Linked DNA regions of Solanum lycopersicum. The protein of the gene in region 1 interacts with the protein of each later gene in a pairwise test. Links are inferred from orthologs where the notes say so. Each region holds a gene or a part of one and is shown in the gene's direction. Other genes may lie near its edges.

Evidence for each region. The genes of interacting proteins can lie anywhere in the genome.
Region 2: the proteins of meiosis-specific protein ASY3 (region 1) and meiosis-specific protein ASY1 interact in a two-hybrid assay, tested with the Arabidopsis thaliana proteins (2 studies listed by BioGRID). The link is inferred for Solanum lycopersicum from reciprocal best matches to the Arabidopsis thaliana genes ASY3 and ASY1.

What each region holds. Positions count from the first base shown.
Region 1 is NC_090800.1:74,289,840-74,294,094, reverse strand, and holds the start of meiosis-specific protein ASY3, read left to right. Parts: upstream 1-1,455; 5' UTR 1,456-1,595; intron 1,596-2,097; 5' UTR 2,098-2,141; coding exon 2,142-2,174; intron 2,175-2,441; coding exon 2,442-3,923; intron 3,924-4,018; coding exon 4,019-4,151; intron 4,152-4,255. UniProt on the Arabidopsis thaliana protein: Required for normal meiosis in male and female gametophytes. Acts with ASY1 at the interface between the developing chromosome axes and the recombination machinery to ensure interhomolog recombination.
Region 2 is NC_090803.1:1,638,656-1,642,826, reverse strand, and holds the start of meiosis-specific protein ASY1, read left to right. Parts: upstream 1-1,371; 5' UTR 1,372-1,465; coding exon 1,466-1,468; intron 1,469-1,574; coding exon 1,575-1,631; intron 1,632-2,521; coding exon 2,522-2,618; intron 2,619-2,708; coding exon 2,709-2,777; intron 2,778-2,883; coding exon 2,884-2,985; intron 2,986-3,187; coding exon 3,188-3,311; intron 3,312-3,409; coding exon 3,410-3,479; intron 3,480-3,588; coding exon 3,589-3,630; intron 3,631-4,114; coding exon 4,115-4,171. UniProt on the Arabidopsis thaliana protein: Required for normal meiosis in male and female gametophytes. Plays a crucial role in coordinating the activity of DMC1, a key member of the homologous recombination machinery.

The sequences.
Region 1 (4,255 bases):
TCACTATACATATATACAAAAGAAGCTGACTAATTCACTATATACATATGCAAAAGAATCAATTGTATAATCTGTTTCGGTATACGTACTGCAAAAGAATCAATTGTATAATTTGTATTTGTATAGCGAGATTTAGAGAAAGACAAAAGAAAACTTGGCAAAGGAATAACGTATTTGTATAAACATATGTGTATAGGACGAAAATCTATGCATTTGTACTTATATATACAAATCTCTTGCTTTATACAAATACAAACACGATGTATACATTTGTATTTATATAAAGTGAGAGAGACGAGTGAGAGTGGAGAGCGAGACTGGAAGAAGGTAGAGAGAGGAACGAAAATATATGTATATGTACAATTTTCTCTCGCTTTATACAAACATAAACACATTTTATACTTTTGTATTTGTATAAATGATAGAGAGTCGAGCGCGACTGCCAACAATAACGAGAATGGCGAGCAAGATTACAGCTGAAAAGAGGCAAAAATAGCAACAATTTACTATGGAATACAATAAAACCAAACTATGTTTTATAACATTCAATTTAAATTAATAATTTGCTAATATATACACTTTTTCAAAAAATAAACTCTTGAAAAAATATCATAAAACTTATGACGTATATAACACAACACATCATCATCTTCGTCAAGCACAGATGAATAAATTTATGGCAAGCTTGTCTTAGCATCTTTCATTTTCATCTTAAGTTTGTATACAATATCAATTCTTTAAACATTAAAAAGGAGTAACTAAATAAAAGAACTACACATAACATTTAGATGTACACAAGAAAACTACAAGTTTGAGAAAAATTATACAATTTGTATCGAATAAAACAAATAATTGAATATTTTCTTGAGAGATAAAAAATTTATACTTGATTAGAACACATGTCTACTAATGCTTATGATCATTATGATGATTACATCGCTTAATGATTCTAAATTTTACTAATTTTTATAACTTTTAATAGGTTTTGAGTTTAGATTTTGTGTTATTTTAAAAGAAACGAGTTTAAAACACACGCAAACCAAGTTTTTATCCAAAAAATATATTGTTAAATTCATTATTATTAAATGACAAAAAATTTCATTTTATATTATTGCATATCTAGTAATTTTAAATGTTTCTTTACATTACTATTTTATATCACTCTACACATAACCTATTATTTCTCTTTTGTGATGTATCATTCATATTGTCTGAATGTGTGATATTATGTTATGGTGAAAAATAATATCTATAATATAACATAATACAATACAATATCCAAGTGGTAAAATAATAGGGTACAAAGTTATGTATACACACACATTATGAATCAAAATATGAAATAACCCATCCAAACAAAGGTGTAAAACGCAGTTGTATATAAAAGAGTGAAAGCGACGTACACGCTCCATTGTTTCGTCTTTTCCCGCCTCTTTCTCAGTCTGATCACGCAAAATCACCCGTACGCACTCTACCCATTTCCTAAAATTTCAAAAAGGACCCCAAAATCCTTTGTAGTATCGACTCGAGTTCTTCTTCTCACAGCTCAGAAACGAACGGAGGCGCATGGTGAATCTCGTCTCTGCTCATTTGTAGTAAGTAATTCACAATATCTCCATGATCGACAATGCATGTAAAGTTAATCCTCATATATTCGTTCCCGCTGAAGTTTCTGTAAATTGTAGCTGTTGGAGATTCTAGATTCACCCGATGTTTGATCGTTCGCTGATAGATTTAGTTTTTCTTTTCTTAACGAAGCTTTGATTTGGCGTTTTGTTTATGAATGGGGAAGTACGTAGTACAGAAATTGTTCTCGAGTGATTTGGATTTTTGGATGGGTTTTGAATCTGAACGTTTTATATGTGGTTATGCTGTAGATACCGATAACTATTTAGTATTAGAAGTTCTCTGTTATTCTCTGTTCCACATGTGTGTGTTTGTGAAAGAGAGACCTAGAGTCTTAGTCTATGAAGCTTAATTCCATTCTATGTGAGTATGGCGTGTGTTTGTGAAGGCAATTAGCAGTACATGTAAAACTATAACGGTGGAATTTGATGGGTAAGCTTAATTAATCATTCTTTCTGCTTTCATTTTCAGAACTCAGGTAACACGCTTACTTTGGATCAGCTGAATTTGCAGCTATGGACGTCAACAGGAAGTCAAAATTACGAGATGTAAGTAGTCAGCTTGCAATTTGAATCTGGGTTAATTATTTACTTGAAGCAATTTGCAGATTTCGTATATGCATATTGTTCCGTCCCTGTTGTCTTTTGACTTTTCCGATTAGTTTAAATTTCTTAGTTTGTCAGCTCGATGTGGAGTTTAATTTTCAAAATTTCTTAGGACCAGAAAGGTCGACCCCTCGCTCTGTGTGGATCTGATGTCATGTTCGTATGCTTAGAAAGCTAGATGTTGAAACACTATTATTTTGTTCTTATCAGGACCTTGCCAGTGACACTTGGAGTTTTGGCAGCAATTACCACCAATCCAGTCAATCTAGAAAGATGTCCATTGGAATTGTAATAGATTCAGTTTCAAAATGCAGAACTCAGAAAGTACAGCAAGCTGAAGATCAGACTCACTTGGCAGCAGTGAAAACTTCTAGCAAAGAGATATGTGTTTACAATGGGACAACAATGCCTCAGAAAACTTCAAGCAAGGGGAATTTCACAAATGACAGAAACAAGAAGGAAATAGTGAGCACTCCTACTATCAGAAATCAAAGAGAGCCCACAGAGAAGCAGACATCTCCTTGGATATCCACTAAAGCCCTCCACCATGAACCAACCTCAGAGGCAGATACTCAAGTACAGAAAACTTCAACTGCACAGGGTGTAGTTGAGATGTGCAACACATCACACAGAGTAGAGGTAGGACCAGCAGAGTGTTCCTTAAGGTCTTTCTTAACCCAGACAAGGACTTTGCAGTTTGAAAAATCCAAGCAGGTAAAGGAGGATGCTTCTATAGAGAGAAGGGGGAAATATGCACCCAAAGTTGCTCTGAAAGACATGCCCGAGAAAGCAGAAAATACAGGCAATGCATCTTTAAGATTGAAGCTTCAGGAAATCTTAGGAACTGTTTCTTCCCCAACCAAGCAGTGTCCAAATTCTCTAGTTCCCGAGCAGGGTGCAAAAGCCTCGGAACCAGAGCAGAAAAACAGTGGAAATCATGTTGGTGAACCTAAGCAAAATTCAGATACTATAGAAAGTGATACCCAAAGTTATGGGTACGCTATTAGGAGACCAACTACTCGTTCTTTAGCTCGAAAAAGAGCCCCTGCTAAGTTGAAATCACAAAATAGAAAGGGACCACCAGCATGTAAAGAGGACCACTTAGAGAAAAATGTCTTCGTTCCTAAAGATCTGCTTTCTAGGACGTTACGTGATGCTAGCACTAGTAGTCCTTTGATGGTATATGGAAGGAGAGGAAAGAGGAAGAGTCACCACATGGAAGCACCTAAGGTTTGTGAGCAGAACAATCAAATGAAAGATGAAGACACAAACAATAAGTGTAGAAGAGTACCAGTTCCTGAGAAGTTTGTACATCCTGGTGATGGCTCTACTTTATTTCAGGAGAAAAATGACAAGTTGGTCCAACCAGATGCTGGTAACCTAGAATCCCCTGTAGTGGAAATGACTGAGCAGCTGAGAAATCTACAAGAACATATAGATCAGAAAGGAAACTCAGCAGAAAAATTCAAGAAGAAAGCATTGGACTCGGAGTCTGACAATCAAAGCCCAGTTTTTGCTTTGAAAACACCTGGCAGAAAATCTTTTCCAGGATTTGCACCAAGAAGCAATCTGGGGCAACTGCATGGTGATGATCATATAGATATAACATCAAAAACTGAGGGAATTTGTAAGGTCAAGAGCTTTGATGGATTTAGACGAGAATATAAGTCCAATACACCCGAAGAATCATCAGTATCCTTCTTATTGTGACTCAACAGTTGTAATCTAGTGGCTGATTGTCATAGGTTGTAGTAATGAATTGTTGATTTTCCTTATAATATGTTAAGGATGATGCAGGAAATTTGGAAAATTCTCCTTTTCTGGAATCAAGACATATAGAAGATACACAAATTAAGTTTTCCAAACCATCATCCATGGAAAGTGATCCCGAGGACTCGGAAGACAGTTCAAATATTCAAGGTTAAAATGATGCTTTGTGATTCATGTTCAATTATTTATTCATATTGATTCAGTTCCCTTAGTTTCTTTCAAATGTAATCATAAGTCTCCAGATGATCCATACT
Region 2 (4,171 bases), on another chromosome or scaffold:
CTTGTGGTGGATTTTACATTATTTTCTTGTAATTGCTATATTTTTTGTTTATATCTGATATAGTTGTACTTGTGTCGATATTTTTCGAAAATAATTTCTCTATCTTTACGAAATAGTGATAAAATTTTCATAAATTTTATTTTTTTCAAACATCGTTCATGAAATTATACTAATTATGCTATTATTATTATTATTATTATCATCATCTTTTAAATTTCTTTTTGTTTGGACAAAAATTGAAAAGAGTTTCTTCAAGGATATATTCTCTTATCTTAGACTATGTTTGGGCCTTGAGTCAATTGTGGACCGCAAATTGCTATTTAAGTGATATATAATTTTTTATAAGTTTAGTTATTTTAAAATTAACATATATTACTTAAATAAGCCTACTTTATATATATTAATATATAAATTTGAAGTTGACTTGACAGTCTCAAACTTTATTTGTTTAGTCTAAAGTTTAGTTTGACATTCTAAAACTTCATACTGTAATTTAAATTTTGATAATTTATTTTATTATGATAGCCTTCACTGTATTACACTTCCGTCCAAAAATAATCTAAATTAAATATAAATTTAGAATTAGAAAAAATTACGTACATTATTCACGTAACACTTAATGATCTGGAATTTTACTTAATATTGAATAAAATATACATACATTTATTTAAAATTTGCTAAATGTCATGATATTTATCTTCTTGTTTTATATCAAATTTATTGCTCATATTTTATAATCAAGGGTGTATTTATAAGGAGTCACTAAATTTAGGTCAATTTGTACTTTCCTCTTGAGTCATGTAAAATAATATTATAATTTCTTTAAAATACTTAATTCTAGATATATGGACCACATTCAAAATATTATACAATACGATCATGATTGGGTGCACCTCTCTCTAGATAGTGATATAAATTTCTAATATATAACAAGTTCAAATGATAAAATCAATCAAATTTATATATTATATTCATCTTTTCGTATAGTGCACTCATTTTTTTAAAATTCTAAATACGCGTCTGTTTATAATGAATGATTGCGAAGGTTGATTCAAAATTTCAAATTCCTGTGATCCATGAACTTAGTTCACTATCAAATAATTAAAATAAAGTTAAAACTATAGTTTAAAAAAAAGTTGATGAAACAAAATTACAACTTAAACAAATTGGTTCAAGTAAAATTAGGGAGGCTTAAACGTCAAAACATTAGCAACACATCTTACTGACCAAAAACCCCTGCCTTTCTCCAAAATTACTCAACAAGCCACTGGATCACGCATTCCGCATTCCTCAGTTAACCATAGTTAATTCCCATTTAACCGTGGTCACTTTTCTCCGACTATATAAACTCACTCTCACTGTACTCCCCGCCATCTTCTTCATTTGCTGAGCAAAAGCTTTCTGAAAAGCATTGTTCTCTTCAAATTTCTCCAAATCGCTTGAATCTCGTTTCTCTCTGTCAACAATGGTGAGCAACAGCTTTTTCCATCTCAACTCGCTCTTTGAATTCGTTGAATAACTTGTTATACTTCACCTATTGCTTAACTCTCGCGTTCATTCTCTGTTTTTTTTAGGTTGTGGCACAGAAATTGAAGGAATCGGAGATTACTGAGCAGGATTCACTCCTTCTGGTAAATGATCGATCTCATATTTGCTTTTTGATTACGTTACTAGAGCTGTGTTTTTTGCTCTGTTCAATTTAGCGTCGATCAGTTTTTTTACGTTTTTGACGAGTTTGTGAACGTTGATAGCACTTAGTTTGTGAACGTTGATAGCGCAAAGTGCTTGTATGAAACACGTTATGTTGAACTGTTTGAGAGTTGTGTAGTTTTTTCTCTTATCACTTTCTGATGTTTTAAATACTTCGATTTTTATGGTTATTGACAGCATGTGAGTCGAATCTGGAGGCTAATCAATGATTCTTTTATACTCAGTTGTGATTTAAGTTGTGTTGTGTGTGTATTTTGAGTTCATTCTTTAGAGTTTTCTGGCTCTTGTAACCTCTTCTATGTTGAGTTTTATTTCGTTCAACTGATGTATGAGGCAAATGTAAATGTATAATCTCTGGTTGTAGATGTTGACTTCCGATTGACTCATGTTGCTTGTTTCTCTAGATAGTTGATTTGTATTTTTGCTCTATATAGTTGAGTGAATCTGTTTTTATGTATTTTAAAAAACGAGATGCGTAGGATATGTTCTAGATCAATGAGCCTGATCTAAGAAGCTAATAAGTATAAGTTGTTTAAGTTCTTCTGTTTTCTCGATTTGCATAGTCTCCATGAATTGGGTGCTTCTGACGTTATCTTCTTTGAATGCTATCGTATCCCAGTTACTGAAATAACTCATGATGTTTAGTTACAATCAAATGAACAGCTAGATATTTTGTCTGTCACTTTGTAAACTTTCCAGTTTACTATCGCTGAAGTTGTTTGTCAGGAAATAGAAACTTGTTTATGCAGTTATTAAGTGTTACAAGCTAATTATCTGGATTCACTTTTTTCTCCATGGTTTTCAAAAACAGACAAGGAACCTTCTGCGTATTGCTATATTCAACATTAGTTACATCAGAGGCCTCTTTCCTGAGAAATATTTCAGTGATAAATCTGTTCCAGCCTTAGGTAACCTTTCTCATTTATTTTTTTGTTTTTTGTAATATCTTCTGTTTCAGTATTTCAAATTAATTTACTGGATACTTATATCACAAGCAGAGATGAAGATCAAGAAGCTAATGCCAATGGATGCAGAGTCACGTAGACTTATTGATTGGATGGAAAAAGGTATGTTGATTTTTTGCTAGTTTTCAAACTAAGCCTTACAGTTATATTCTTCCTTGTCATTTCTTACCGCCACTTTCCTTAACGCTACTTTCTTCTGTGTTCGTAGGTGTTTATGATGCATTACAGAAGAAATATCTGAAAACACTTCTGTTCTGTGTGTGCGAAGCAGTTGATGGACCAATGATTGAGGAATATGCATGTAAGAAGAGTTAAGATAAGTTGGTTCAGTGATGACTTCAAATTGATTTTAGTATCATAATTACACTGGCTAATCACATCTGAAACTGACTAGATTACTATCTAGACCATATCTGTGTTGCCTGAGACAAAGAAATTGCTAAAAGAAGAGCTGATACTTTCAGTAGTCTGGCTTGTGACAATAGCTTATACACTTAGTTTTCTACTTGCAGTCTCTTTCAGTTATTCAAGTTCCGACTCTGAAGAAGTGTCAATGAATGTCAATCGTATTGGGATGAAGAAAGGGGGAACATTCAAGTGTAACTCAAACACTGAAATAACACCCAATCAAATGAGGTAACTATTGGTCTAAGGATTTTTTACTTTATCAGTCTCATGCTGGTTGTTTTTTGGATTACATGAACCTTTTGAGTTGAGAGGGAAGTATATTTCAGGAGTTCTGCTTGTAAAATGGTTCGTACACTGATTCAGTTGATGAGAACTCTTGATAAGATGCCAGAAGAGGTAAAACTTTCTAATTTTCCTAAAAAGCATCGCTTCGTTGTTCATTAATGTTGACAATTGTCTCCTATCATCTGGTTGCTAAGGTTTGTTTCTCTTGGTTTTTTCTCAGCGAACTATACTGATGAAGCTTCTTTATCATGATGATATCACGGTATGCCCTTTTCTCAATTTTGCTTGTTCTGTTTTTCTTTTTATTTCCCTTTTCCTCTTTTAGCTTGCCTCTCAATGTTTGAGTTTCGGGGGAATGTTAAACTTCCATATATTGTAGCATGCAAATTATATATTGGCATCTGTAAGCACATTGCCTTTAAGAAGCTGCAATTGTAATCATCCCTTTTTGACATTCAGAAAATAAGGTTTCTCCTTAGAAGTCATCTCACTTCTGTAATTTTGTAGCTTACGTTAATTTTTGAGTTTGAGCCCCAAATTGATTCCTGTAGTTGTGCCGATAAATGGTTCTTGGGCTACTCATGCACTGAAAACACTGCTTAGTCATATCAAATGCATTTCATAGAATTTTCCAAGCTTTACTTGTTTCCACTTCACCTTTTTAATATCATTTTTCTTCAAAAATCACCCAGCTTGTCATATTTTAGTCAAATTAATCTTTTGTAACAGAATTGCTGGTTGTGCAGCCTGCTGATTATGAACCTCCTTTCTTTAGAGGCTGCACTGACGAGGAGGCTCTAAAT